4 separate regions of the Mus musculus genome follow, and regions 1, 2 and 3 are each reported to be linked to region 4. Evidence: microRNA targets listed by miRTarBase, many of them from high-throughput screens and not tested one by one. Region 4 holds a microRNA gene; each other region holds the end of a gene's coding sequence. Distances are between the middles of the regions.
Evidence for each region. The annotated mature microRNA mmu-miR-290a-5p reads ACUCAAACUAUGGGGGCACUUU and lies in region 4 at 2,690-2,711, opposite strand. An mRNA with a match to its seed (bases 2 to 7 or 8) in the 3' UTR can be bound and repressed. Matches are read on the target gene's strand: a 7mer-m8 pairs with bases 2 to 8, a 7mer-A1 pairs with bases 2 to 7 and ends in A, and an 8mer does both.

Region 1 (7,719 bases), 110 Mb from region 4:
GAGCCATACATTGCCATCAGAGAACCCTCAGCGAGGTAGCCTTTGTTTACAGTCTAGTTTCTAGAGGGCAGTAGGACTTCCATGCTGGGGCTGGCCTATCTCCTGATGAAAGATTACAGTGCCATCTCCTTCCCATAGTTCTGTGTCTGCCCTCCCTCCCTGACTTTATAGGGAGAAATCTCCTGACATTAGAGGTGATAGAAACCAGAGCTTTAGTCTAGTCAGGCTGTTTCTCTGGGTTGACAAGTTTAAGGTTGAACAGGCTGATTTCTGGAATCTCATGAGTGGAGGGGACCCTGGTGGTTAAGAGCGGAACTGGAAGCACAATGGAAAACTCTTGGACTCTGCTCTCTGCTTTACCACACACAAAAAAGAGGGTTCTTGGCTATTTGAATATAAAGTTGGTAGCACCAGGAAATAGGCTGAACTTTGTAGCCCACTGTGGAAAGGAGCAGCCTCAGCACAAACCCCTCTGTCGGGCCCTGAGTGACAAGACCAGCCTCACAAGGTCAGATTTTAAGACTCAGCTCCTGGTGATAATGCCTTTTCTTGACCACTGGCGCTGTGAACACAGGCTAATGGACTTCAGATACCAGGGCCCCGGGATCACCTGGGTTAGCCTCTCCCACAGGAAGATCCCTTACCCCTCATCCCCTCTTCTTTTTGGTCCTTGGCTGGGTAGCAAATTGGTGAGAAGAGCAGCCTAGTCTGTAAGAGTGCAGGGCAGCTGGAACCTTAGGCAGCTCCTCTGTATGCTACCGGCTCCACACCCTAACACTCTCCACCCTCTGCTCCAAACCAGTTCTTCTGCAGAGTGGTGATGTTAGCTTCCCCAGCTCCTCTCCAAGTCTAGCTTTTTCTGTCCTTCTGGCTCCAAGGTGCTCTGTGTCTGTGTGTGTGTGTCTGTCTGTGTGTGTGTGTGTCGAGGAAAGGGCAATCTGCAAACAATGAACAGAAGTTTAAGATCACATCAGAGTAGGGAAAGACAACGGAGGCAGTGGTGACCACTGTGGACTGTGGATGGTGCCCCTTCATTCCATGCTCTTTCTCCCATGGTTCTGAGCAGGCGACTGTCAAGGAAGTGTGTTGTCAGTTCACTGGAGGAGGAGCTGAGATGTGCACCCTTTTAAATGAACATGGGGTGGTGATGGTGCCTTAACAATCTTGACACTAAGGTGAAGCAAGCAAGTAAGGTGTGTGCCTCTGGGAAGACAGGAGTCGGAAGCCAAGGTGTGTGGCAACAGTCTGGAAGAGAGCTTTTGGTAATCATACCGTCTTCAGTGACAAGGCAACAATGCTGTAAAGTGGGTTTGTTTGGTTTTGTTTTTTCTTTCTCTTTTATGGAAATGGCAGGTCTATTTGCCTCAAACGTTATGTAGAAGTAGTTCTAAGTTTAACAAGCAATAGAGATGACTGCTTAGCTAGGATCTGCAGGGAGCTCTGCTCTGCAAGCACAACACCTGTCTCATAGATGGACAGCCTGGTTTCCCTTCTCAGCAGTCCTGGCCTCCCCTTCTCTGTATTCCTTGCCCCAGCTACGATATCCTCATGGGATTTCAGGATGCCAGGTGCCATCAAAGCATGCTTTTTTGTGGTGCCTAGCACTGTGACTGGGGCCCAACTGCCCTGCAGAGTTGGGACCTTGCACTGCCCTAGACCCTGGCTTTAGATCTGCTTCAGTCTCCAGAACAGGCTATGGGATAGATTTTTCTTTCAGTTTATGGCCACCTGCCCAAATTGACTTCCAGCTTACAATCTTCTGTCATTTCAAGATCGTAAGAAGTACTGGGATGGGTTTGAGTTTTCAGCACAGAGGCGAGTTGATCTAGGAGCATACAACTGTACTGAGCAGCTAGAGCATTTGAGCAACCCATGTAATCTTTGTGTTTCCCTCCCTGTAAGAAGGCCTGTCAGAGCTTGCTGTAGGAGTTAGGGTAAATGAAAGTTAGTCCTGGCTCTCATCACCACCTTTCCTAGCTCATCACTGTGCCTTCTTTCTTCCCTAAGAAAGACAATGCACCCCTCTCTTCTGTTCTCCTGCCCCTTCGCCCCCACTGAGGTCCAGGTAGAGCAGATGAGGCTGAAATGTAGAGTGTTCTATAGAGCATCTCAGTAGCATAGAAGGAGAAGCCCAGCTCCAACCTCCTGGACCCCATACTGGTGACCAGCTTGGTGAGGACAGGCAAAATTTCTCTAGCTGAGAGCACACTTAGCCAGTTTTCACGCCTAGAACATATATGTCGATTTGCACATGATTGTCTTTTCCTATTTTGGAGTGGTCAGACATTTTATTTTTGTTCAAAATTATCTGGAGTTTTAGACAAACTTGCAAAACTGTGCTTTTATTAAGTGACTTTTTGAATAAACTTTTTGGTATTCTGAAGCAAATGTATTTATTTATTGGTATGTGCAATGACAAACTTGGTATTTTCCCATAATGACATTATGTATGTTGTAGAATTTAGTGTTTGTCTAAGTACAGACATGTATCAACACATTAAACTTGAACTGTTTGACGGCTGTGTCCTTGGTTTTCATAGAGAAGAGAACATGTCTCTCCTAAAATGTTCTCCATCCCAGTCCTTTCTAGGCGCTTCAAAGGGTCAGGTGCGTAAGAGCAACTGAGGGCCCAGAGCACGTTTAGAACCAGTGAGTGGCATACAGATCAGCACTGCCTTCTCCTGTGAAACCACATCTATAGCATGGGGAAAAAAGGGTTAGAGGATACTTCAGGTCATCTGGTCACTTAAGGAACTGGCTGACAGTTCTTAAGTATGCTTGGTGGACATGGCCCTTGTGGACAGAACTGGGCTGTAGTACTCAAGAGTGGGAAAGGCCCAGCCACATGACTGCAGGCCTTGCTTGGAGGTGGGTCTATTTAAACAGGACTCTTACATAGTGGGAACCCTTTTTCAGTCTGTGGTGGATTTGAGGCCAACATGATGAAAGCCTATAGTTGTTCTAAAAGGAGTCATCACAAAGTCACAAGAACTCCTCAGAGTGACTCTGGACCATTCTTGGCATGCAGAGTGGCCATAGAGTATCAAGTTGGGTAGTCCAGAAGCATGAGATTCAAGACAGTGATGTGCTAATAAGCACCTACCATTGCACACTTCACACTGGGCAGCTTTCAGAAACAGTCCTGTAAGGTGGACGTGATTCCTGGTCCATCCATAAGGAAAGTGGTACCCTTTGAAGTGAAGGAATGGCCTGGTTTTTTGATACTACAAAGTGTTTTAGACATGCTAATGGTTAAGGAGATTACAGAATAGTTGATTAGTATCCTTCCTGATCACTGCCCAATAGGTGACATATGAAATGTTCTTTGCAGATACAAATTGTCTAAATAAAAAGAATTTAAGAGCAGGTCTATAATTAGGGTTCATTTATCTACTCAGCTAAGTGTTTTTGATGTGAGTCAAAAGCATTCCCTACCTGAACATGGCCTGGTTCCTGTAGTGATTGCATTTGTGAAGACCATATACAGGGTGTTCGACAAAGGGAAGAGGTTTTGTTTGTTTAGTCATCAAGTTTAAGAAAAAATCCTCAATTGTGTAGAACACATGCAGAGGAAAATCTTTATTTATACCTATTACCTCTGGTTTGCTCTTGATTGCCAACTTAAGGGGCTTAGAATCACCATGAAAACATACTTGTCTATGAAGGTGTTTACAAGAAAGTTAGTTGAGGAGGAAGACCCATCCTTACTATGGACAGTATCATCCCTTTGGCTGGGGTCCCAGACTGATAAGAGGGGCAAAACAAGCCAAGTGCTGTGTATCATCATTCACCTCAGCTCCCTGTGAGCCTGCCCGCTGGCTCCTGCTGCCCTGAAGGACTGCCCTCAACTACATGCTCCTCCTGCATTGTTACCTTCCATACAATGAGAACGTTTAATTATGCCGTGAGTTTAGGTTCTTCTTTCCAGAGTGTCTGAGTGAAGACCATTATTGCTTAAGTCTAAATACAAAGAACATAATTCTCTCAAGCCATTATTTCTAGAGGCTGAGTCCATCTCCACTCTTCAGCATACCTCCCAGGCCCAGGCCTTGAGATAAGGAGGCACACAGTCTTGTTCCATAGCTGTGTTAAGGGGTCTTCTGGCTGATCACCCACCTGACTTACCAAGCACACTCCTAGGTGATGTACAGTGGCTTCTTAGGCCAACTACTGCTATGGTGCCCCATAGGTCACTGGAGACCTAATGGTAAGGCCTTGATGAAACCCTTAATATTGAGAAATGAAGATCATACAATGAAACCAAGCCCCTTGATTTTGGTCAACCTGTAAAAATCATATCTAAAAGATAAAATTCTGGGAAAAAATGCCTATATTCCAAATTACTAATAGGTTCTTCAAAGTTTCTGGTATATACAAACAAATATATTCCTATATGCAGACTAACATGTAGAGTGGCAAGAACCATGAAGGACTGGTCCTTTTGGCAGGAATTGTTTCCATAGCTAATCCCCAATGATAGAGTTGGTGCTAAACCCTTTTCACCTGATTACCCATCTATACACCAACCACACTGTTCTTGCTAACCTACTTTTTTTGCCCAAATGTCCTTCCTCCTCTTGCCATGTTTTAGCTTTCCACAAGGTGTCTCTGAGATTTTTTTGGTACTTGGCAAGAACATTCTTGTTCTTCTGTGCTCCTACAGTTTAGGGTCCACACTATAATGAATAAAACAGCTACCACATGATATGTTGTTTTGCATGAGCTAACAACATAAGCATGCTGCCCTATGTGCACTGACTACCTCATTTGCAGCTTACAGCCCTGTAAGACCTGTGTTTTTACTACCCTCACACTTTATAGATGCCCAACCAGGCTTGGGATGCTTAAGGAGCCAATCCAGAATTCCACAGCCTGAATTGCAGGGAAATCTGTCTGAAGAATTCACAATCTCTAGCCTTCCTATGGTCCATAGTGCATCTGTTAGATTAGCACATTAAACTGAAATTCGTACAAATTCAGTCTTCTTAGTTGGGGCATTGGACTATGCACAGACACTCAGTACTTAGCACAGGGCCGTTGTCCAACAAATGAATGAGAAGGAAACAAGTTCTTATCTAATAACAGAATTATATCCTATGAACAAAAATTAGAACCAGTGATACGGGGCTATCTTAAATCAACTTCTCATGGTGGATGCCAGAACCATCCAGAAAACAATCTGCTCAAACAAGAGTATCTGCGTTGCTTTTTACACTTAGTTATGTCAAGACCATCTTCAGTACATGTTCAACTGCATTCTGCACAATTTCAATCAAACATTCTACACAGGGATTGGTACAGTGCAGCGTTTGTGTTTCTCTAGTCCCGTTAACATGTAAAGCTTTCTAGTAGCTGACAGTGTCTTAGTGTGGTCTCAGACCTGATGACAGCCAGGGCAGTACGCTCCTGAGTGGTCCAAACTATCTTCTGGCATCATAGGCATGCCAGGCACAATAGAACTCTAAAGACTATCCAGCTTCACAGAATTCCTTAAATTTTGAGTCTCCCATTTCATGACTCGGAATGTTGTTGGAGATGCACAGCCTTTCAGCTTTCAATTCATGTAACTGAACTGACACACCCTTGTTAGAATTCTCAGGGTTTCCTGGCTACTTGAGCTCCTCATGGAAGGACCACCATACTTAAGCAGTCCTGTAGCTTCAACAGCCTCAAACTTCAGCTCTGTGGGACACAGATTAATGCCTCCAAATCCCTCTAGCCACAGAAGACATTCAGAGTTGCCTCTAGATTTGGCAGTTCTGTTCAACAGAATAAAGACAAAGGAAGCAGGGATCGAGGGAATATACAAGCAAAATGGTCTCCAAATAGGCCCGTGAGTTCATGGCCTGCTGCTCTGGAGGAGTCAGGGCATCTTAGAAGGCTGTGAGGAGAGACTGCAGCTCAATCAGATATCTTGCTGTGCTCTGGGCCCCTAGGCTCAGAATTGAGCATGCTCTTCTCAGGGACCACTAACCAGCTGAAGGCCCAAAGAATAAGGCATTTGGGAATCTAAAATCTTCATTCTTAAAACTTAAGTCCTCAATATCAGCTAACCCAGTTCTCTTTCACGGTCATCCTATCCTAACAAATCCATTCAATAAATCATTCACAGGTAAATCATCTGTTGCTCCTATGAGGAGGGGTCAGACATTTGCCTAGGTGGTACCACCTGCAAGCACAAACAACCAAATACAATTACCGAGTGGATTAGTGTCTCTGATAGGGAAACTCATGAATAGGAAGGTGATTCTGTGCTGTGTTCACACTCTGATAGGGAAGCGCATGACTAGGAAGGTGATTCTGTCCCGTGTTCACACTACTGGCTACTTTACAAAGTGACAGGTGTGCAAGCACCGGGAAGGATTAGCTGTATCCATGGTAGTGGCCCAAGAGCTATGGTATTGAACACAGAGGATGCAGAGGGCACAAGGCCATGGATGAAACTGAGGAAAGGTGCCATGGGAACAGAGTAATGGATACTTTCCCAAGCAGGCTGCTTTCACTCAAAACCCTGGGGGTTGCGCTTCCTCAACATACCACCCACGTGTGCATTATCAGTGCTGACTCCCAGCCCTTCATTTGTAAAGTCCTGGGGCAAGTTTTCCTTGGTGGCTTCCTCTTGCTCACTGTAGCCATCTGCACTGAAACCAGCATTCTCTGCCAAGACAGCAGGATCCTCCTCTTCATGAACACAGCAGGAGCATGATTCTGGTTTGGGATCACACGGGGCAACAGAATTATCTTTCTGGGCTCCAGGGTCAGTGGGCAAATGATCCCAGCTCAAACGCTCTGATCCTTCCTCTTCTATCTCTCCCATTTGTTCAGCAATTTCTTCAGCAGAGGGCTCTTTTAGGTCAGGGTAATCCACCAGGATTGTTTCTTGCCTACGCTTGATACCATCCGAAAGGTCATATATTGGATAAGTCTCTTCTGGGTAACCTAGAGAGGAAAGTAGCACAAAGTCTTAAAAAGAGCATCTTTGAAAATAAATAGTGTCAGGATCAGAGAGCATTCTCTGGCAACAGCCATCCTATCCTAACAAATCCATTCAATAAATCTCTAAGATGGTCCTAATAGTCCTCAAGTTTCACTTGAACAAATTCTGAGCAGTCTGGCTGACTGTCTCAGTGCTCTGTGAAATACAACCCAGGGCAGAGGAAAATCCTTTGTAAGTAAGGTGCTTGGGGTAGAGGTAAGTCTCACCCCTCATGTTTCTGCAGCATTGATGAAGATTATGCAAACAGCATGAGCCTTCAGCGCTACAGATGGAGAGGGCTTAGCTTAAGGCTAGTATTTACAATTTCTATTTGGAACCAGTTCCAAATCTTCTGGTGGAGGTGGGGCTGGGAAAAGGAATGCTAAGCTCTTTGAAAAATAAACCACAGTGCTTTCTACTTATCAAAACAACCAAATAGTCTGTAACTGTCAGAAGCTGGGGCAAGTTAGCAAGACATGACCAAGACCCCACAAGGCAAGAACTGCATTTTTAGAGACAGAACTTCCAATGTTGGCATCTTCATTTTGACAAAATGGAACAAAAGGAAAAAACAACAAACAGGTAAGCAAAGTGAGTAACACTGCACCAAACCTCGGCTATGATAATAAGAAAGAGGCTGTGCTGCCAAGTAAGGAATGAAATGAACTAAATCTGTGTGTGCCAGGCCACGCCGAGCGGCAGATGGACCATGTGGGGGCTCATATGGCAGTGCTGGCAATGCA
Region 2 (7,719 bases), not on the chromosome of region 4:
AATTGACTTTAGATACACTGCAAATGTATAGAAATGCAGCTTTTAAAAAAAATATGGATGCTATGATCTTACTAGCTTTAGTAGTTTCTCCCCCTACCCGCCATCCTGCTTCCTCTTCTCTCTCTCTTCTCCCTTTCTTCTCCTTTCCTCTCCCTGTTTCCACCCTCTTGGCCACTCTCCTTTCCTATCTCTCTCCCTCTGTGTTTTTGAGACAAGGTATTCCTGGCTGGCCTGGAATTCTCACTGTGTAGTCTGTGCTGGCATCCAGATCAGAGAGATCTGTCTGGCTCTGCCTCCTGAATGCTGGGATTAAGGTGTGCACCACCATTTCTGGCCTCCACAAGTTTTCTTATTGTTATTCTTACAGTTGTCTGTGTACAAGATTGTGTCATCCACAAGTCAACCTTTTTCTTCCTCTTAGTTTTATTAGAAATAGAAAGGAGTGTTCTGACTTAATATGAGTAGATTTGTCTTAAATCAGCAACAACGATTAACAAGTATTTATAAATGATTACAAAATCATTACTTAATGTAATATTTATATGCATATAGAAATTCTGGTAATAAGACTGCTGCATGTTCATTGTAAAATGCAGAAAATCAGACATATTTGGAGAGTTGGTTACACAATAGGTTGGACTAGGAATCAGTCAAGAAAATATAAACATCCTTGTAAATAATCTTTTTTTCCCTTTTATTGGATATTTTCTTTATTTACATTTCAAATGCTACCCCCTTTCCTGGTCTCCCCTCTGGAAATCTCCTGTCCCATTCTGCCTTCCAGCCCTGGCATTCCCCTACACTGGGGCATCGAACCCCCTCAGGCCCAAGGGCTGTTCCTCCCATTGATGTCCAACAAGGCCATCCTCTGCCACATTCGCGGCCAGAGCCATGGGTCCCTCCTGTATACTCTTTGTTTGGTGGTACAAGAGTCCCTGGGAGCTCTATGGGGTCTGGCATAGTATAGCATTCTTGTTAAATTATTTTTAAATTATTGATACAAGGTACATTAACATCATTAATAATACTATTAATTTTTTGTTTGTTTTTTGAGACAGTCTCCATATCTAGCCCAGGCTGTCTTGAATTTGGTGCTCCTCTTTTCTCTGTTGTCTTGGTGTGCTCCACTATGTCTGGCTGTGCTTCTACAGTACTTTACACTTGGCAGTTAATTGTCTCTCTTCTCTTCCTCTCTCAGGTGGATGCACGGAGCATACCAGTATTAGCAAAATGGCAAAATTCCTATAGCATTAAAGTCATACTTCAAGAGCTAAGACGTCTTATGATGTCCAAAGAAAATATGAAGCTTCCACAGCCTCCAGAAGGACAGACGTACAACAACTAACTTTAGTGGATCTCAAACTTGTCTTAAATCAGCAACCTTCTACTCATGTTAATGTCTTGATTAAATATCACCATGCACAATACCCACACAATAAGTAAAAGAATTGCAGCTGGTAAACATGACCTGGACAGTTGTAAGAATATATTTAATATATGTACACCTATTATGTTTTCAGGTAACAAGAGACGTGCAGCACAATTTTTCTTTCTATTAAAGCACTGTCATTTAAACATGAACCTGAAGTACTCAAAATGGAGTTCAGGCTTTCAAGACAAAAGCATGACAAAAGAGTGTCATGTGGCCATGGAAACATTTGTTTTTCTGGAAAGTAAAGTCTCAAGAAGGAAGAACAGAAATGGCATGCTTTATCATATTTAGAGCTGCAGTTGGAATTGTTTAAAGTAGCAGATACAATGACTAGTCAACAATTGTGTTAATTCTTGAAGCGGTGTGGGTGCTGACTACTATTAGTACAAACATAGGTTCAGGATTGTTTTGATACCTGTATTTATAATAAAAGGTGTTGGGGTTTTGAATTTCTGTTAAAAGCTGTTCCCGTTTGTTACATGTAACAGACATAATAATTTGTTTACAGTCTTTGTTTAGTAAAACATGCTTAGATGTTTTAAGTGAAGTCAACAAAAAGGAAATAGGTGTATGGATATGTGATTTTGAGATGAAAGTTAGTCTTAAAATGTAAATAAAATATGGAATGTGTCTTAAGAGACTGTGCTATTTCTGTTACATTGATATATGCTATGGTAGCCATATCATGGTAGCAAAATTGGGAGTTATTAAGCTAGGCATGGTAATGGCAGAGGCAGGCGATTACAAGTTCCTGGCCAGCCTGGGCTAGTACATAAGACTGCAATTAAAACAAAATAAGAAATACTGTGAGACTATCAAAGACTTTCATTGAAATTCTATTCTATATGCCTATGTTTGGAACTTACAGAGCACTTGTTGTGACACCGTACATGCTCAGTTTAATTTCTTCGCACAAAGAGGTATCTCAGTTACTATATTTCAAATTTTATTTCATCATAGGCAATATTAAAAAAGATCTTTGCATTTTAGCAGTTTTTGTAGCTACAAACTGCAAATTATTCAGTACTCATTTAATTTTTTCTTGTGACATTTTAATTTTTCTGTAAAGCTTTGGTTCATTACAATTGACTGAATTGAAGACTTTCCTCCCCTATCTTTAATTTTTTTTTTGTTATTTAGTGTGTGTGTGCGCAGTGTGTGTGGTGGGGGGATGTGTGCGCGCGCATACGTGTGTGTACTTGTGTGAAGATCAGAGGTTACCTTTGGAGTGTTGGTTCTTGCCTTCACTTTCCTGTGTGTTACTGATGTCGAACTCTGATCACCATGTACCATGCGTGTCAACAAGGGCCCTCACTGCAGAGCCATCTCATTGGTTCCTCTTCTAAGAACAACGGAAGTTAATTTTATCATTCCACTCTGTTTACTTTAACAAATATGTGTCTGAAGTTGAAAGTTTATTTTTATTCTTTTATCAAATTGACAGTTTAATTGTCAAAATAAAAAAATGAGATGTTCAAACTTTGCATATAAAGAAAGTAAAGGGAACAGCATGACTAGTATACTGATTACTTTTGGTTACTTTTATAGCAAGGATAGGTTTCTTGACATATACTTGGTGTGTTTTGATTAAGCTGTTTAAAAGTTAATGTTTTTTTAGTCATTAAACTAGTTTGTCTAGACATTATCATCACTGTTGTAGTTTGAAAGAGGGTACCACTGTATAACCTATGATGGCTTCAAACTTGCACAATTATTTCTGTCTCAGCCTCCCAAGTACTAGTTCAGGTGTACACCATGTCCAGCATAAGTGGACTCATTTTAAATGAGCTAGTCTAATTATCAACAAACTTCCTTTATTCGTGTTTTGTGTGTGTGTGTGTGTGTGTGTGTGTGTGTGTGTGTGTTGGGTGCATGCAGAGGCCTTAGGTGGTATCTGGAGTCTCTCTTAATTGTTCTTTCACTTTATAGTGTCAGACAGTGTTTTTAAATGAAGCCCAGAGCTCACTGATGCAGCTAGACTTGCTAATCAGCTTGCTATAGAAATAGATCCCCCTGCCTCTGCTTTCCAAGGCTGGAATTATAGCCTTACCTGTTATTTTATGTGGGTTCTGGGAATCGGATCTCCAACAAGCATTTTCAACCATTGAGCCATCTCAGCCCCTCAAAGATGTTCTAAATATTTAACCACATAGAACATACACATAACATTTTCCATGTGTAATTGATTAAAGTAGACTTAAATGAAATATACTAATATTTAATGATTAAAGATTACATTCAATTGCATTGACAGTATAGAGTCATTACCAGTTCTTTTCTGCCTTGAAAATGTGTCTTGTGATACTTGGAGCTAGTAAGTGTTGGGATGCTTTTGATAGCCTTTGGTAGAATCTGGTACTTTGGTCTCATGTTGTCTTTGTATATGCCACTGTGAGAGTTCTCTCCTCCACCCAAGGCTGTTTGTCAGAGCCCAGCCTATTTAAAAAAAACCCCTTTCTTGTTTAAGGGATTGTGGATCTTAGCATAAATCTATGAGTCAGTTAACAGATTTCCAAAGCAAAATCCATTTTGCATGTAACAGTTATATATGATTATCTAAGATTGATGAAATTTTAGAGTTAATAGAGCCTCTTTTAAATAAAAGCAAATCTTCTTTTGTAAAGTGACTAGGATTGCAGGAATGTGGTATAAATAGACTAGAAATTTGCCTTAGAAACTTGTTTCAAGAGATTTTAAAGTATGACCCTTGATGACTATATGTTAATAAAAGTTAAAAAGTAAAATTCTTGTTCCAGTAGGTCCCTGTTATACTTTAATGGCTTTAACTATTTGTTATTTTCAGAATTGGTAATTTTTTATTATTTGTTAATTTAAAATAAAGTTATTGCACTTGTTTAGGGATCTGTATATACTTTTCTAGAATTTTTGTAACAAACATTGGGTCTGTCACAGGCAGTCTTTTGGGTGTGAAAACAAAACCTGTAATTTTACATTGACCTTTATAAAAACTATTTTACTCAACATTTGGGTATGTGAATAAATAGGGACTTTAGTTTGATTTATCAGGACAAGTACTTCACCAAGACTGACTTCCATCATCGAAGTGTTCTTCAACATTAGAATGCATGTGAAGTTGATATTTGAAAATTTAGAGCATTGTTGAAAACCACTCTTAATAGGTTTGATGTTTATGGCTTTAGGCCATTCTCATAAGTTCAGTCAAAATCATGTCAGCTTCCTAAATGAGTTTAAAACCATATATTCTTGCATGCTTACAAGGATTTTGGAAACTACTTAAGGAATCTTACAGTTTTTTTCCTTTATAAGAATAGTTTTTAGGTATTTGTATACAGAGCTACAATATTATTGATTATTGGGAAGGATAGCAGACACAGATCTTACTTTTCTGATAAGTAGCAATACACTTTCATTGCTTCAGTTTGACCAGTTTTTGTTCAGTTGTAATGCCTCAAGATTTTGGAAAGATGTACATGTTTTCTGAACTAGAAACACCATGAAAAGGAATAAACACAAGTGGTAGGAACACAAGTGATTAACTTACATTCAGTACCGAGCTTACTAAAAAGCAGGGAGTCCACAGGAATAGAATTTCTAAAGTTAATGTTCTTTGGAGAAGTTACCAAAGACTGAATAAACTTTTTCTCTAAAACTATATTTTGTGTGTGCCTGTGACTGTGCATTTGCATGCCTGTGTGCATTCATTTATGAGTGTGTGTGTGTGTGTGTGTGTGTGTGTGTGTGTGTGTGTATGTGTGTGTGGCCAAAGAACAACTTAGGAATTTGTTCGCACCTTGCACTGTGTGAGGGGTTGAACTCAGGTCATCTGGCTTAGATGCAAGTATCTTTACCCACTGAACCATCTTGCTTGTCCCAGGGGAATCTGATACTGAACATATTGGATGTTTAGGAAGTTTTCTGGAATTTTGAAAAGATACACTGTAAGTATTTTCTGAAAAGAAAACTAATAAAGGTATTTGTTGATACAGGAAATAAAAATGAAGACCATTTTGTAAAATCAAGGAGTTTGAAAAACTCATAGAATGAGTTACATGATTTAAAAAGCCATTAGCAGGCTGGAGGAGTGAGCCTGATGTCTTGTTTGGATATGCAGACGCCATGTAGAAAGCGGGACAGTGTAGTATGTGAGTAATCCCAACATGTCTCTACCAGCAGGTGTGGGGAGACAGAACTTTTAAAAGCAACCGCTGGTTGCTGTGGTGTTTATATCTTCAATAAAAGGTGTGCAGCTAAGAAATAAGGGTTTTGCCCCATCTCATTTTTCCATATAATTTAAAAATACTGCGGTAGGTTCCCCCTTCTAAGTTTATGAGATCAATGATAAAAGCTGAATCAATCTCTCTCTCTCTCTCTGTCTGTCTGTCTCAAGAGATTTATTTATTTCATGTATGTGAGTACACTGTCATTGTCTTTAGACACACCAGGAGAGGACATCGGATCCCCATTACAGATGGCTGTGAGCCACCATGTAGTTGCTGGGAATTGAACTCAGGACCTCTAGGAAGAGCAGTCAGTGTGGGAATCACTTGTCTACCTACTTCCCACGGACAGAATCAACATTGCCCAGAATTTCCCCAGTCTTAGCTAACTGTACTGTGAGATGAATATTTGCTTAATTGGGAAAATGAAGGCTCTTAAAGTACAGTGCCTTGGGTTACAGTTGCATTTATTACTTTCCATAATTGAAGTTTTCTATAAACTTTCCATAGGTTATTACTGCTAGCCTCTATACTGACAAATGTTGGCAGTTGCCCCTTAGCCACTTCAGATTCTGCCTGTACTAAAGTTGTCAACAACTGTTGTAGGTTAAAAGTACAGGTTCCTCCCACCTCAGCTTGGACCTATCTCTCTTTTTTTCTTTTTTTCTTTTTGAGACAGGGTTTCTCTGTGTAGCCCTGGCTGTCTTGGAACTCACTTTGTAGACCAGGCTGGCCTCGAACTCAGAAATCCGCCTGCCTCTGCCTCCCAAGTGCTGCGATTAAAGGCGTGCGCCACCACGTCTGGCTTTTATCTCATATTTTTAATCCATTCTTTGAGTAAATCATTTTAAAAACAGAATTCTTTATTCTCTCAGGGTTAGTTACTCGTTTTTGAACATGAGTTTTTTTTTCTTTAAGTAATGTCTTCATTTGCAATGAATTTATCTCGTTCTAAAATTTGCATACTTCCAGTAGGGTTCTTTTGGTTGTAGCATTTGGCCAGTTTTAGTGAATGTTACCCCTGGAGAATGTTTACTTTTATGCAATTGCTTGCTTTTATACAATGTTTGCTTTTATGCAAGCCCCAATTTTTGGCTACCAATAAAGTAGAAGATATTCTAAGGTAAGGAGGAGTCCAATTGTAGTCACAGAGCTTCCCAAATCCTTTGAGGTTTGATAGTATAAGTTTCATACATTTGGAATTTAAATTTTGCAAGTTATTCCTAGAATTGGCCTTTCTATGATACATGTGGATAGTTCCCACACTGACATTACCTGTTACATTTGTAGGGCAGTTGGTCATTCTATAAATGAGTCTAAGGTCACAGGACACAATCCAAAATATCTTGGCAAAGCAAGAAACAAGCAAAAAAACCCCACTTCTGGAGAAGGATGTATAACCATGTCAAATCATGCAAAAAATATCCACCAGAGGTCTGGTTGGGTTTTATTCCTAGTATAAAGGGGTCTCTTCCCTCTTTGAGTAGTCAGAACTTGGCCTCATACTCACATATAATTGGCTAACTCAGAATGATTCAGCCGATAAGCAAAGTTCAATTTTTTGATGGGAGAATATAACCTTGAGCAAATATTTTGATTTTAAAAGTGTTGACTTGTGATGGAAATTGAATTTCTGCCAAGTGTGGAGAGCTTTTGGGAGCTGCTTGGCAGGAATCTGACGTTGGGCTATGACAAGGAAGCACGCTCAGACAGGAATCTGATTTTAGGCTAGAACAAAGAAGTAGGCTTCAGGCAGGAATATGACTTTGGACTAGGACTGGGAAGTAGACTCAGTTATCTTGGTCATCCTGATAAGCCCTTAAAAACAGTGATCTTGGGGACTTTGTTTATTGCCTTGCTTGTTCCTTGACTATTTGTGTTTATTGTCTTGCTTGTTCCTTAACCTAGAACTCACCTTATTGCTTTCATGTAATTAAAATGGTATAAAAGCAGGTTGGGAAAAATATAAACCTGCCTCAACCTCAGAACTGGCTAGGGTCATGCTACAATGTTGTCTAATTGTCTTTTTTTCTTTTTAATCCTTACTCCTGCCCTGGAGACTGACTGAGCTGGCTTGGTCAGCCAAGT
Region 3 (7,719 bases), not on the chromosome of region 4:
TGGGGGGAGGTGACGGTGGAACTGTAGTCTTGGGGAAGGTGGGGGCTCAGAGCCATGGTCCCAGGGCCATCTCTGTGTCATTCAAATTCCCACATCGTGGTGCTCAGGGACACTCGCTGCCTTGATCACTTGAGGACATGCTGTTTGGTGTTGTTTCAACGGCATCAGACAGGACAGGGGAGCTGGCTCAGGTGCACACCTGGAGAGATGTCAGGGGCGTAACTCTGCCAGTAAGCCTGGAAACTCGGCTCTGCAGTCAGGACAGCAAGTGACACGGGCACCTCTGCTTAGCATTGCTTGGCTGTTGTGATTCAGAATCTCAGCCTCTCTCAGGAGCCTGACATTGGAAACCTGCCCTACCAAAGACATTGTTCTGATTGGTGACCATGGCACTTGCTGGGACTTGATGCATGGCTGTCTGTACAGGCTGGAAAGCCCTGGAAAGTCAAGGGTGTACACACATGAAGCTTTCTGGAACTCGCTGGGATTTAAGGACCCTCAGAGCAGAGGCCCCATTGCTCCTTGACTGAACTCTGTCTGAGGTGGCGGTGCAGCCAAGCTCATCCTTGTGACAGGAGACAGATAAAGCTTCAGGCTACTCTCTGGGGTCGATGCACAGGCTGAAGTCCCATTAGATGGAGGTCCACACCCTGTCTCTGCTCACCTTGGGGTCCTAGGCGTCTAGGGCTTCAGTTCCTGCAGATGATAGTGAAGAACACCTGACAGTGGCTTTTAGCTTTCCCCATTTCTACAGTGGTTTTGCTAGGATTGCCTTATCTGAAACAAATTTTCAATGAGCCAACCCATGTCTCTTTACTGTCATGGCATGCACTGGGCTGGAGGCAAGTTCTGAGCAAGGACCACAGGGAACAGATACCCACAGCCTGAACCTTCCTGCTTTAGCAGTTATCTGGTGGCTAGGGAGAGACTGGGAAACAAAATTTGCCATGTGCAGACTGAACACTGAAATTTCAGACAAAAGATTCTTTTGGGGGGCGGGGGGGTGTGGCAAACACACGATGTGGTGCGCTACTGTCTAGTAAGTGCTGGCCACTTGGTCTCTCTAAACGAGCTACTGTGAATGCCAGCCATAGTGAAGTACAATTTCCCAGTGGCTATCCTGACAAGAGACTTGGATGGATTGCTCTCTTCCTGAAGGTGTGCAGTAGTGTGGGTATCAGAACCAAAATGGCAGTAGATGTTCTGGCTTTGGTGAGTATGCCTCGTCAGCCATGTCATCCCAGGGCAATGGCAAGGCTCCAACATGGGGCATGTGGCGGCTTTTGCATTGCTATGATCTCGGCATGGCCAACCCCACTTCTCTGCTTACTGCTGGAGCGGGGCTCAAGTGTTTTGACTCTCATGCCTGTTGTAGCAGCTTCCCGCCACGCTTGGCTTTGTTTTTGGTGCTGGAGGTCAAAGTTAGGCCCTGGCTTATGCTAGGGAAGAGCTCTGCCATTGAATGGTACCTCTGGCTCCCCAGCAAGCTCTGGATTCACATTTCTCGATTTGATTTCTTGCTATCTGGTTCCAAGGCCCTGTTTTAGCCTCCACCTCAAGGAGTCCCTGCTGCTTCAACAGCAAGGATGGTCGGACATGGGGTAGAAACAGTACCACCCCACCACCTGCTGGCGTCAGTCTCTGAATCCTTCAGTGGAAGGAGAGAATGTTAAGCCAAATGCTAGGTGTGTCCAAGTTGGAACAGGGCCTGAGTGAACACTTCAGAAATACCAGTCAGAGGCAGACAGACCTTCATCTCTGTGTGACACTGACATCTCACAGGTACACTCCGGGGCCTCTCGGGAACCCTGGTGAAGGTACAAATCATAGATGTGCACGCAACTAATTGTATTTTATTTTGCCATAAAGCTGTTTAGCCTTAAGACCCTTGAGTGGAAGTCTAACTGCCATTGAGGTGTTGGTACCCCTTTTTACCCCATCTTGTGTGGCTTAGAAAAGAGGCCTGCCTAGGTTTGCTCTGGCCCTCAGATGCCCTCTCCTCCCTAAATGTCCCTGTCTTTGTTGCTGCTTCATGTACTGCCTTCTTACTCGCTTCAATAAAAACTATCTTCACCAGCTCCGGTGCCCTCCACCTGGAAGAGTCCTCAGAGTCCTTGAAGCACCGACCCTAAGCTTCCAAAAGAGAACCATTTTACATCCAAGGTGTTGGTGTGGAGACATGTTGCCACCTCTCACACAGTTCAAAGGAATCAATGTGAACTTACCTGAAGCTTAAGTGAGTCTCAAGTAAAACGTCAGTCTTCACACTAGTGTATCAGAACCTTTAAAGGAGGTCTTGAATTCCTGCAGGTGCCAGACCTGGTGGGGGCATCTCCACCTGCCACTTGACCTTCCTTAGAGCTACTGACTCTTTATACCTGTGACTTCTGAGTCATCCCATCGACCTATTAGTCCTTGAGAAGTTCACAGCTCAACTTTCAGAAGTCAGACTGCTTCTTGGTAAGAATGCAGCACCCACCACCCCCACCCCAATGAATGTAGCCTCTTAATATTCAGACACTGTATTTCAGCATCAGTTGGAGACTGTCCACCATCCAAGTTGCAAGGACATTTATACTCATGAGCAGTTCGTCATCCTGAGGCTTCTCATACAAACATTCTCCATCAAATCCTGCCAAATCCTTTATTGGGGTTTTTGTTGTTGTTGTTGTTGTTTCTTTTTCCTCTGTCCGAATGAGCATGAATAAACAGGTGCAAATGAGCTGAGGCTATTTTTGTGGTCAGCTGAGGATGCTGCCAAGAGCTCCCCTGTGTGGCTGTACGGATGTGGAGAACATGTGGGCACTCCATGGATGATACCCCCTTTCTTGACATTTTTAAACAAGCACAAATGATATTTGTAAAAAAAAAAAAGTTTAATTTTATTTATTATGGTAATAAACTATTTTATATGTGATACCTGTGTTTGCCTTTCCTTACATACTTATGTCATCCAGTGAGATGCTTTCTCTCCTTCCGGCTGTTCTCTGCTCAGTTCCCATGAGTGGCTGACTTCCAACCACCTGGAATGCCAGCTCCAGGTGATCCAACACCCTCTTCTGGCTTCTGAGGCACCTGCACACACATGGCATGCAGAACATAACAATAAATCTTTTTTAAAAAAAATATGTGGGAAGCTCTGATGTGGATGGTGCCTTGCATCCATCAGTTTCCATGATACTGTGGTAAAGTACCAGACCAAGCAACTTGCAGAGAGGATTTATATTAGCGCATGGCTTGAGGGTGCAGTCCACCCACCAGGCCAGGGATTCCTGATCTAGCAACCCCTCAGAGACAGACCCAGAGATCCTGTAATCTAGGGAATCCTAGACGGTGTCAAGCTGACAGTCAGTATGACCTATAATGGATTGGGGAGACAGCATGCTTCATGTCTAAGTGCTCCTTACGGAGTGACCACAGCATGTTCTCTGAAGTTTTACCTCTGCAATGAGCCTGAGAGGCTGCCTCTAAGATCTTGGTCTTGAAGATCTGGGTCCTTCACAGCCAAACCACAACAAAGTCCTTATCTCCCATCACAAAGGCATCAAGTTTCAATATGAGTTGACAACCCACATTCAAATCGTAGCATTTGCCTTAACACACCTCCCGTTCTAAAGTGATGGTTTTCATCTTGAACAATTTGACATGGATTTTGAATAAAGTACATTAATGTTTTCCCTACTTTTGAAAAGACAGCAAAACCCACAACCCAGTGTTTCCTGAATGACTGTCAACAGCACTGGGTTCTCACCCTACTTCACTATAGTTTGCAGAGCTATTGAGCTGCCTCAAGCAGTCCTACTCAGTGTTATCCCACAGGCACTGAGTCAGACTCCACAGGACTGCCATCCTGTGTCTTATTTAAGATCCAGTGACCATCAAAGTCCAAAAAGCAGACAGTGGGACTTAATTCTGGGACGAGATCCATTATGTGAAACCAAAGTCAGGACATGGAGAACCTCACTGACCACATCAGAACATGGTGTATTTGAGAACATTCCTTCAGTCCCCTATTTCATTACATTACAGAAGGGCATGGTAAAACTAATAATGACATTGTTTAAAATCTCAAATAACTAATGCTCATTTCAAAGCGCTGAACATTAATTGCATCTTTAATCTCTAATGGTTAAAACAAACAAAGAAACAAATAGGGTTTTTGTAACTAACTAGCAACAGAGACAAGAGGAACCTTTGGGGTAACAAGTAGAATTCAACCTTATTGTATACATACATCCTGATATGTTTGCTAAAAGTATAAACATTATAGTTAATTTCTAGTACTTAGCTAACCTATAGTTGTATTTTTAGAAAAGCAAAGAAAAAAGTCTCAAGTTCTGTAAGGGGAGCACTACTAACTACCATTACCACAACTCTTGCTAACAGCTAGATACTACAGGTATCAGTAAAAGTCCATGTTCTCACAACTTGCAAGCCTAATGCCATTCAGTATTCTGTGTGGTTCCAAGAATTTATGATAACAGCAGGACTTTGGTTGGCATTGGGCATCTTGCTTCCCTCCTTGGGTACTGGCTGGGCAATTGCTCATGGAACTAGGTCAGGGATCAGAGGTCCTGGGACTGACAGGGACTCAAGACTTTATCCAGCACGCTTCCGGAACTGTCTCGGAAGTTGTCCTGGTGGGTGAGGATGACTGATTGGTGGATGAAGTTGACTGATGCCCAGGAACCGGACTCAAGGATCTATCTACAGCAAGTGGAGACTACACTGGGAGGTGCTTTTCTGTTATGTTACATCAGGGATCAGGGAAAGGTGAGACAACAGAGCCCCGGATAATCCACACAGAGAGCAGCAGCCAGCTGCTGAGACCATGACTGAATCAGATCATTTTAATGAACTTCTGGGTTATTATGGCCAACCACTCACTGACTCTTCCAGTGTAGTCTCGGGGATAGGTTTGCCTTTCTATTAGACACTACAATCATTTTTACACTACGGTTTTTCTCAGTGAGTCTTTTCCTTACTTGAAGGCTTCAGCCAGACTCCCTCTGGCTGACCACAAATACTTACTCTGTTGTTCTAAAAGATGGCACTCATTTCAGTGGTTGCCCCCCACATCCTTATAACTTCCCAGCATCCCACACTTGCCTGCCCTGCGTCTCCCTGACTCGTCTTCCTCAGCCAGCTGCTGAGTTTGCTACTGCCCAGCTTACCTGCCTCCTTCTGGTCTGTGCTTTGTTCAGGTAGCACAGTGTGCCCAACCCAGTCCATCAACATCTCTCTTGCAAGCATGGCAGCCAGGAAGAAAGGGGATCCCCTGATGGCAGGGTGTGCCTTGCAAGGGCACCTGTTCCATTGAACTGGCATTCCTAGGCACGATTCGGGACACTATCACTTAGAAAATGAGACAGCACAAAGCCCAGCTGATCTTTCCCTTGACGGTCACAGGGTCATAGTTCCTATAGCTGGAGTGTTAAGCATTCCCTCCAAATTCCACACACAGAGCTTCAGAACTTAGAGCTTCCCCCCTCCCCTCCTCCCACACGAACCCAGAGCCAAACAGAACCACAGTGACACTTGTCAGCAGCTGTCTAGAAGGATGAAGTATCAAGACACATGTGTTTAGATCTCAAAATTTTTATTTAAAAAATATCCAAAATAAGACCACAAAAAAATCAGAATTATCTATGTAGCAAAAACAGGTTCTGTTTTTTTTTTTTTTAAATGAGAATAAGGCAATAAAACCCACTGAGTAAAAGTCATGGGACCTTGGGATGTCACTCTCCCCAGAGGCCTTGCGCAACACCACCTGCATGTGGACATCTTATTCTCTGGCTTTTAAACTCCACTTCTGTGCAGAACAGCTGTGAGAGGAACCACCATGTTCCTCCATGGCTACAAGTCTCAGAAAGCAGCAGCCCTGTGTGGACTCTCCAATAAAGTTCAAGTTACAGAACTCTTTGTAAAGCCCCAGCTGCACATCACCCACTCTAGCTGGGCCACTTGAAATGTGAAATGGTTCTGCTGATCCCCTGTCTAAGGACCATTCATGCGAAGGTTAGTCCAGAGCCCCCAGGGCAGCACATAGAAAGGAGACATCAAAGTATCTCAGAATTTCTCAGAAAGACATCCCAAGGATGGCAAGCCTATCCCTAACCAGGACTTCCATATCAAAACACACATCTGCCACACCTAAGCTTTGGTAGAGAAGAAAAAAAAAAAAAAACAAGCAGGTTCATGGGAACAAATATCACAGGTATAGTCAGGAAAACCTGAGACTGCTCTGGACTGTACCTTGTGCGTCAGGAAGCTTCTGGGGGGGACGCGACAAATCTCTGAGGCTCCAGAGCTAGAAGTTTGAGTTGTGTATTTACTGTGATTGATGAAGCTGCCAGTCCTGGAATGAAGCGTCTTCATTAGAAGATGAGTGGAAGGTAGTCCCTCAGGGACTGTCCTGGAGTGGAGGGTGGTCCCTCAGGGACTGTCCTGGAGTGGAGGGTGGTCCCTCAGGGACTGTCCTGGAGTGGAGGGTGGTCCCTCAGGGACTGTCCTGGAGTGGAGGGTGGTCCCTCAGGGACTGTCCTGGAGTGGAGGGTGGTTTGAGGATGGTCTCAGAATGAGAGATCAGGATGAAATGCCATGTCCCTTGGAGGCTGAGCTGGCCCAGCAGCCATACACAGTTAAAGAACTGTGTATGTCTGAGCCCAAGCAATGTCCACGTGAGAATAGCAGTACAGGAATCCCAGGACAGACAGAGTCACCCATGGCCACCCTGTGTGAAGAGAGACAGAGACGAAGAATAGTTAGAATACCTGGGTGTGCCCTCCCTCGTGGGCAAATTGTCCCCCAAGAAAAGGGCAACAGAATCATAGACCTCCAGAAAGTCAACTTTGTGTGAACCCAGCAGGTGGGTTCCTGTGTTCTCACCAGGTGCACTGGGAAGTGGTGGTTACATTACTGCAAAAGCGAACTCACTTAGAAACAGGGCATGCTTTTAAAGAGCATGTCCTTTGGAGACTAAAGCAAATAACTAGAGAGATACGCCTATGGGTACCAAAGTCAGCCTCCAACATGCAGACCACTGGTACAGTGAACACAGTGGTACTTTTTAGCACATAGAAAGGGAGGACCCTAGATTAGATATTAGATTTCAAAACTCAAAACATAGGGCTGGAGAGATGGCTCAGCAGTTCAGAATGCTGCTGCTTTTGCAAGGTCCAGAGTTCAGTTCCTAGCGCTTACATGGTGACTCCCTATAACTCCAGGTCCAGAGAATTTAATACCCTATTCTGGCCTCCACAGCCACTGCTGCATTGTTGAACACATAACTACACTCAGGTACACATACACTCAGGCATTCTTGCATACATGCACACATGTGCACACCTGTGCATACATGCACATATATATGTACACACATATTACACATATGTACATATACTTATACACACACTGAGGAACACACACACATATATACAGGCATATACACATGAACACATACACACATATACTCAGGCACACATATATACATGCACACACACAAATGCACACATATACATACACAAGTACATACACAAACACACACATGCATGCATACATGTTCATACACAAGTATGCACACAAACATACACATGCATGTACACAAGTTCATACACACACACACATACACACTGAATAAACAAATATATCTTGTGAAAGAGAACTAACTGTCAAAGTTTGGGAGTGGAGGGATGATTCAACTATTAAGAAAACTTACTG
Region 4 (7,719 bases):
CAAATGTGGGCTTAAATGTGGCTATGCTTAAAGGCACCTTTAAGCTAGTACAGGGTAATTCTTCCTTAAAACCATTGGAGGGGTGGCATGCCTAAATCCCAAGAGGCAAACAGGGGTGTCTCCCAAAAGGTGCCCTATTACTGTTGAAAACACTTCCAGCTATGTGTTGGTTTAACTTTTGGGGATTTTTTCAGACAGGGTTTTTCTGTATAGCCCAGGATTACCTTTAGTCTCAACCCCAGTGATTAAAAGGGTGCTTGCATGCTTGCAAGCTTTTTTTATCCCTAGGAACCATGGCGGGTGTTTTAAAACAAAAACTGAGAAAGCAGCAAAATCAAGAGAACAAGACTTTATTATTCATGTTTGGAGGCTGAGGGCACTGGTTGCTCCCATAGCACCTTGGTTCATTCAATAGCACCCACATGTCCCAGTTCCAGGAAACCTTCATCTGGATTCAGATACACACTACACATGCATGAAAGCAGCCGACCTGTGAATGGTGCCCACAGGAGAGACTCAAAAGTAGTAGCACTTTCTATGTACAGTCCAGAAGTGTGCCCCACATTTGAGTCTCACCAAGATGAGCAAGCAAGGAGTCTCTGGTTGATTGAAGTTCCGATGCTTTCTCCACATGGCAACACACAAAAGGGAAGCACTTTCCACTTAAAAGCTTAGATAGGGCCTCCATTTTGAGTATGGCTATATGGAATTTCGCTAGATCCAAACATGCCTACAACTGAACTGAAGATTAAGGATTATTCAATGCCAAAAGGATAAATGCAGCTATATGTAATACAGTACCTGTCAAATCTGGGTCACTTCCCGTGAGGTTCCGTGCACCTCAGCTTTTACTTTTGCCCCATTACAGACTGAATCATACCCACAGATGACACCCAAATGATGCAACACTTAGGCCAACTGCAGTTTCTCAATCGGCAACACTACAAACTCTGCGGCACTTCTTACAAAGAACAAAATGTCACACAGTTTGAGTACCACAGATTGAAGCATTTCCACAGGGACCTGCTGTGGTAATAAACCTGAAACTTTATAGTCAGTTCTTAGCCAGACCAGCCAGCCAGGCAGGTTGAAGGCAAGTAAGTACCCCAGGCTAGGCAGGATTACATTCAACTCAACTGGAACACCTGAAAAACAAAGAGAATCCATGAAGATTATGCTTAGGGCACACAATGTAACACCTGTAATCCCAGCCCTCATGAGCCTGGGCTATTGTAAAGCCAAAAGGTATTATGGGTATTATCTACCCGGCTGTCCACCAAGCTTGTTTGTGCTAGGAGCCAGGTTAAAGTCAGCTACAGCCAGCAGGTCCTAAAAATTCAATCCAACCATATCAAGACTCACAACCATCAGTCCAACTACAGTAGTCAAGCAAGATATAGCAACTACAGTAGTCAAGCAAGATATATAGGATCTTTTAATCCCAGGTGGATGGAGCTGAGGCCAGGCTGGTCTACAAGTGAGTTAGCTCCAGGACAGCCAGGGCTACAGAGAAACCCTGTTTGGAGAAAAAGGAAAAAAATTGAAAGAGGACTTAATATGGCGGCCACGTGAGATTTAAAAGTAGGCCTTTCTTTACTCAGACCTGAGGCTTAGACTCACCACCCCTGGACCTGGAGTGCCTCCTTCCACCCTGCCCTGCTTCCTCCTCACCTCCAGCCTTGCAGCTCGAGTAGCCAGTGGCAACGAATTCACCTCCAGCACACATACCTGTTTCAAGCAGGTAAGCGATTCCAGGTTGCAGCTGCAGCCGGCTTTTCAGACGCCATGTACACACAGAGACAAACAAAATGGATGCACTTTCCCGCCAAGCCGCGGAGAGGGCCTCCACTTTGATCGACACTGTATGTTCCAACTTCCAAGACCTGAGGCTCAGCTCCTCCGAGCGAGGCCCATGTGGGATCCCGGCTCCTTTATGAACGCGGAAAGCCTTTAGTACCGCATGCGCCCAAGTGTTCGGACTCAAACCCACATGTGACACCCACCTGCCCAGAAATGCAACCCCAGTGAAAACATGACCCACTAAAACTTAATTCTTAGTTCTTAGCCGTTTTGAGTTCTCAACCGGTGACACTCAAAACCTGGCGGCACTTTTCTTCCGATGAAAATCCAAAAGAGCCCCCAGTTTGAGTATCACAGGCTGGAGGTCAAGCTTAAGAACAATCTACAATGCACCTGGACTCACGACTGCCTTACATCCATCCGCGTCTCGTGGCACCCAACTGAACCGCCCTCTTTAGGATAGGACCCATTAAACTCCAAGCCTAAACCCCCACACAGGTTGTCCGCTCCTGTAAACCGATGCGTCAGATGCAAAGCTATGATGTTTTCCCCATGCAGTGGCACACAAAGTGGAAGCACTTTCTCATTCAGGCTCAAGAGAGGGCCTCCACTTTGATGGCCGCTACATAGGTGTAACAGCTCCAAGCAGCGACAGGACGCACATGGAGCCCCCAGGTACCCTACAACGACCACCTCAGTTACCGTCTACTGGGCAGGATGCCCATCCCTAGCCTTTCGCTATACTCAGTCTCATTCCTTTCTTCGAATCCGTACTCACCACGCTGCAGTTAACCCGGAACACGTGGCACCAGGGCTGGTAAATGTGCCAGATAGCCGTTTTCTCAACCGGCGGGGCTTAAAACTAGGCGGCACTTTTTAAAGAAAAAAAAAAGTGCCCCCATAGTTTGAGTACCGCAAGATGAGGCGGTCCAGACGTTAAAACATTTACCAGGAGGAAAGAACGTGGAGAACTTAAAATTCACTCCAACCTGAAGGAAACCTGGATGAAATCAAGGAAGAGTTAGTACATCGGTCTAACTCAAGGTATAGTGAAACTCAAAATTTCTACAATGAAACCACGTAGTTAATGAAATGTACTGCATAGACTCCCTAGACCTGCCCTCAGTAACTCCTAGCTTTGGTTTCTGGTCCCCAAACTTCACTCGCGCCCAGACTACTCACTTTCCCCACATAGGCTCGTTCCTCCCTTGAAATTATGTAGACCAAGTCAGAAAAAAAAGCCCAACTCTTTTTCCACACACATTAGTTCTAAATGTCTTCTTTGGAGACCAGACCAACCTCAGATGGGCCTGCCTCTGCCTCGGGATTAGTAAACCCAGCCAAACCGTGGGGGCGAGCGAGGAAGGCTGAGTTCGCGGCTAGCCTGCCTTTTAAAAAAGGGGCTCTAGTTTTTAAAAAGTAGAATGAAGATGGCCGTGATGACCTTTAATCTGGAGGCAGAGAGGCAGGCAGAAATGAGAGTTAAAGGCCAGCCTGGCTAGTCATCTCCAAAGTTGAAGCAGGAAGATCTCTCTTCTGGAAATCCTGGATCTACTTTCGCCTCTCTAAACCAGGTAGATTAAAACCACAGAACTGAAGGAAATAAAAAATCTGAAACTAAAAATATTACCTTTGCCTATGTGAGAAGCAGCACGCCGGAGGTATCCCTGAAGACCGCAGAGACCAGCATTCCCGATGTGGAGTAGAAGTCTCTGAGAGGCGTGGGGGAGGCTCTAGGTTCTTATATAGTCTGAAGGCTCATTGGCCCCCTGGACTGGGAGGCTCTGATACCCCTCCCCCACCCCGGAGAATCCTTACTCTACCACCCTGCTTCCTCTGAGCTGAGTTTCCCTGCGGCAGAGTGACCTTCACTGGTTTCTTCTCCCCCCCACCCCCCAGAGGAAACAGATTTCTTTGTTTGTTTCTAGAAGCAGCGCCTTTAATCCTATAGTTTTCTAGGCCGAGGCTGGAGGATCTTTGTTAGTTCAAGGCCAGCTTGGTCTACTATGGTGACTAGGCACGGGACTAGGCAGGGCTACATTCAGTATTAAGATAATAATAAAAATAAATAAAGGAAGAATGTGGGAGGTTCAGTTTATTCTTTCGTTTGAATTTTTTTTAAATCCAGAGTTTCAAATCCTCCCTCTTTTTTACCTTTCTTTCTTTCTTTCTTTCTTTCTTTCTTTCTTTCTTTCTTTCTTTCTTTCTTTCTTTCTTTCTTTCTTTCTTTCTTTCTTTCTTTCCCACACTGAATATGAAGGTCCAAGAACAATATGATAGAGTTAGTTTTCTCCTATGCTTAAATATGTTTTTTTTGGGGGGGAGGGGGTTCAAGACAGGGTTTCTCTGTGTAGCCCTGGCTGTCCTGGAACTCACTCTGTAGACCAGGCTGGCCTTGAACTCAGAAATCCGCCTGCCTCTGCCTCCCAAATGCTGGGATTAAAGGCGTGTGCCACCATGCCCGGCTGTTTTTCTTTTGTTATTATTATTGTTGTTGTTATTATTATTTATTAAATATCTTTAAATAGCTCCATGGATTGAAATTAGGTCTCCAGGCGGCAGGGCTAAAGCTACAGAGGCATATTGCAGACTTGGAGTTTAGGGTTTGTTTGTTTGTTTGTTTGTTTTTTGGAGACAAGGCTCAAGTACGCCAAGCTGGCCATAAGCTCATTAAATAGCCAAGAATAATTTAGGACTCCTAAGTCTACACCTTGTGTGTGTGTGTGTGTGTGTGTGTGTGTGTGTGTGTGTGTGTAATGGAACATTTTTAAAAAATTAATTTAATTTTTAAAAATGTATTCACCCTACATCCTACTCACTGCCCCCCTCCAGGTCACCTCCTTCTACAATCCTTCCCCCAACCCCAGTCTTCTCCTCTGAGTCGCCCCCCCCCCCCCAGCACTTCCAGTCTGTGGGGCTAGGTGCTTCCTCTCCCACTGAGGCCAGACAAAGCAGCCCAGTTTGACCATCATAACTCCGGGACAGGCAACTGCTTTTGGGATAGCCTCTGCTCCAGCTGTTTAGGACTCACATGAAGGTCAAGCTACACCTCGGCTACATGTGAGCAAAGAGGCCTAGGTCCAGCCCATGTGTGTTCTTTGGTTAGTGGGGACTCATAAGTCTTTGTCTCCAATCTTCCAAGGGCTGGAATAGGCATATACCAGTATGCCCAGTTCAGTCATTAATTCCAGGCATATTTAATATACTTTAGATGTCTTGTTAATTGAACAAACAAGCCTCACCAGCAATTTGCTAGGTCTTAGGCTTGGGGAAGCAGATAGAGATATGGGTTTGGTCAAGTATAATGGCACATTCTTTTAATTCCAGCAATGGGTAGGCCAAGCAGCTACAAGTGAAACTGTGCCTCAAACAGCAGCAACAAGAAGGATAATTCTTTCTTTCTTTCTTTCTTTCTTTCTTTCTTTCTTTCTTTCTTTCTTTCTTTCTTTCTCTCTCTCTCTCTTTCTCTCTCTCTCTCTCTTCCTTCCTTCCTTCCTTCCTTCCTTTCTTTCTTTCTTTCTCTCTCTCTTCCTTCCTTTCTTTCTTTCTTCCTTTCTCTCTCTCTCTCTCTCTCTCTCTCTCTCTCTCTCTCTCTCTCTCTCTCTCTTTCTCTCTTTCTTTCTTTCTTTCTGACTGGATCTTTCTAGGCTAGGATGCCAGGAGCCTAGCCTGGGATGAGCTACTGATTTAGCTTCTCTTCAACTTTCCCAAGATGGCCTTGGCAACTCTGTTCCCTGTTCATACTGTGTTGAACATAACCAAGCAAAGTGCCCCACTAACTTAACCCTAAGAATTTTATTTATTATTTATTTATTTATTTATTTATTTATTCACTCACTCACTTCCTTACTTGCTTATTTCTTGTGACAGGATCTTGCTAGGCAAGAGAGGCCTGGAACTCACTATATAGACCAGGCTGGCCTCCAAGTCACAGAAATCCACGCATCTCTCTCTGCTTTCTCGAGTATGGGCTTGTACCAAGCTGGCCCACAGTGAGCGTTTTAAAATTATGTTTTGTTGGACATGGTGGCACACGCCTTTAATCCCAGCACTCAGGAGGCAGAGGCAGGCGGATTTGAGTTCCAGGACAGCCAGGGCTATACAGAGAAACCCTGCCTAAAAAAAAAAAAAAAAAAAAAAAAAGTTTTATTTTTGGTGTATGTTGCAGGGAGGGGCAGAGGTGAAATGGAAGCATATAGGTGTTAGACAGTAGCTTGTAGCACTGAGTTCTGTCTTACCTCTTGGGGTCCAGAGATTGCCTTCAGGTCTTTGAGTTTGGCAGTATACCTGTTTATACATTAATACAGCTCAAGGGCTCCATAAAGAACACTTTTGAAAGCACCTAGGGTTAAAAATGTAGAAGCATCTCTTAAGTCCTCCATAAGGCCTCCTTAGAGTTTACCTTTGACCCTTAGGCCTAGCAGGGAGCTCAGAAGTGGAGGGGCAAAGGTGGGGTGCCACTCTGGCTCCCCTTCTCCTCTTTATCATTGTCAGCTGCCTTCCAAGGTTCTGACAAAAACCTTTCTATGATGACACTAAGAAACAGCTGTTTTAGCCCGGTGTGGTGGCGCACACCTTTGATCCCAGCACTTAGAAGGCAGAGACAGGTGGATTTCAGATCGAGGCCAGCCTGGTCTACAGAGTGAGTTCCAGGACAGCCAGGGCTACACGGAGAAACCCTGTTTCGGGAAAAAAAAAAAAAAAAGACAGCTGGGGATATATGAAAATTAGCAAAAACATTGCTTTTATCAGCCCTGCCTTCAACCTTGGGCTTCCTTCCTTTCCTCTCATGCTGAGCTTCAGGGACCCCAGCAGAGATCTTGAGGTTTGTACTGCACCTAGGAAGTGAGGCACCAGGCGAGGTACCTGCTCCCAAGTCCTCCCAGGCTCAAATCCGAAGGGAGATGTATTTCATTCTCCCCAGCCAAAGGGACTGTTAACCTGCAAACTAGTTAGACTTCCTTCGTTACCTGGAGTCTGAATGGCACGGAGGCTGGCAGAATCATAGTCACAGGGCTGAGCTCATTGGCTTCAAACTCATGCCATGACCTCATAATCCCAGGCTGAGCTGCTTGGCCTCAAACTTGTCTACTACAGAAAAATCACCTGCTGTCTCTTTCCTAACACACACTGCTGGCTTTTCTTTTTCTTCTTATTATTAACACTACATTATATAAAGTGATTATATTTATTTTCTGTTCCTATGTGATTAGGGGGTCGCAGGTCAGTTTATTTACTTATCTTGACACACAGATTCTCTATTTAAGCCAGTCTGGGTTCAAACTCAGAAATCTGCATTCCTCTGCCTTCCAAGTGCTGTGATTAAAGGTGTCCACCAACAGACAGGGTACCTCTCTCTGTACAGCCCTGGCTATCCTGGGACTCTCAGACAGCTACTACTCAGTGTGGGGCTTTGAAATGACATTATTGGGTTGGGAGGCTGTGCACATGCTAAGGTGCTCTGGTAGAAATCACAGGGCAGCTGGCCTGAAGAAATTTCTCCTTCTCCTCTGTGGTCCGGGGGATGGAACTTACCTACTGACCCTCTCACCTGGTGTCACTTCTCCCACCCCATCTGTTTCTTTCTTCATAGTAGCATTAAGTTATTATGAGAGAAGGTACTGGAAATTTCACAGAACTGCGGGATGAGATTTGACAGCTGGTGAAGTAAGGACCCGGAAAAAGGAGAGTCATTTTACTTCTTTCAAAACTCCACTGGCTGGGGTGAAGGACAGTCATTTGCATGTCGGCAGCAAGGCTTTTATGGTAATGACCCAGTCCTCCCTCCCTTTGCCACCCAACCCTTGGCTTTGTTTACTAGGATTGAGCATTACAATAAGAATGCTTTCTTCTGTAAATTCCCCTCTGGGCTTGAAATCCTTTTAGGTTCAAAATTAATTGATGCAATTGGAGGGGCTG

Region 1: miRTarBase lists Ric3 as a target of mmu-miR-290a-5p. Seed matches in the 3' UTR shown: 7mer-m8 at 5,669-5,675 and 7mer-m8 at 5,183-5,189.
Region 2: miRTarBase lists Ube2v2 as a target of mmu-miR-290a-5p. Seed matches in the 3' UTR shown: 7mer-A1 at 2,016-2,022 and 7mer-A1 at 6,301-6,307.
Region 3: the mRNA of Hhat is a reported target of mmu-miR-290a-5p. Seed matches in the 3' UTR shown: 7mer-A1 at 5,589-5,595.

The regions. Positions count from the first base shown.
Region 1 is chr7:109,031,945-109,039,663 of GRCm38, forward strand. It overlaps Ric3 (RIC3 acetylcholine receptor chaperone), which reads right to left. Exons shown (of 6, transcript NM_001038624.1): 6 at 2,375-6,939. The coding sequence ends at 6,500. Tub (tubby bipartite transcription factor) reads left to right here. Exons shown (of 12, transcript NM_021885.4): 12 at 1-2,515. Among named protein-coding and RNA genes, the nearest start is that of Tub, 25 kb to the left of the region's middle.
Region 2 is chr16:15,550,023-15,557,741 of GRCm38, reverse strand. It overlaps Ube2v2 (ubiquitin-conjugating enzyme E2 variant 2), which reads left to right. Exons shown (of 4, transcript NM_023585.4): 4 at 1,199-6,756. The coding sequence ends at 1,345. Among named protein-coding and RNA genes, the nearest start is that of Gm41424, 25 kb to the right of the region's middle.
Region 3 is chr1:192,507,243-192,514,961 of GRCm38, forward strand. Hhat (hedgehog acyltransferase) reads right to left here. Exons shown (of 12, transcript NM_144881.4): 12 at 5,586-6,733. The coding sequence ends at 6,642. Kcnh1 (potassium voltage-gated channel, subfamily H (eag-related), member 1) reads left to right here. Exons shown (of 11, transcript NM_001038607.2): 11 at 1-2,917. Among named protein-coding and RNA genes, the nearest start is that of Gm31011, 5.1 kb to the right of the region's middle.
Region 4 is chr7:3,213,631-3,221,349 of GRCm38, reverse strand. It overlaps Mir290a (microRNA 290a), which reads right to left and starts at 2,724; the gene lies at 2,642-2,724. It overlaps Mir290b (microRNA 290b), which reads left to right and starts at 2,655; the gene lies at 2,655-2,712. D7Ertd143e (DNA segment, Chr 7, ERATO Doi 143, expressed) reads right to left here and starts at 2,566. Exons shown (of 1, transcript NR_028425.1): 1 at 335-2,566. It overlaps Mir291a (microRNA 291a), which reads right to left and starts at 2,431; the gene lies at 2,350-2,431. It also overlaps Mir292, Mir292b, Mir291b, Mir293, Mir294 and Mir295, and 1 more gene. RefSeq lists a cis regulatory region at 5,748-7,719.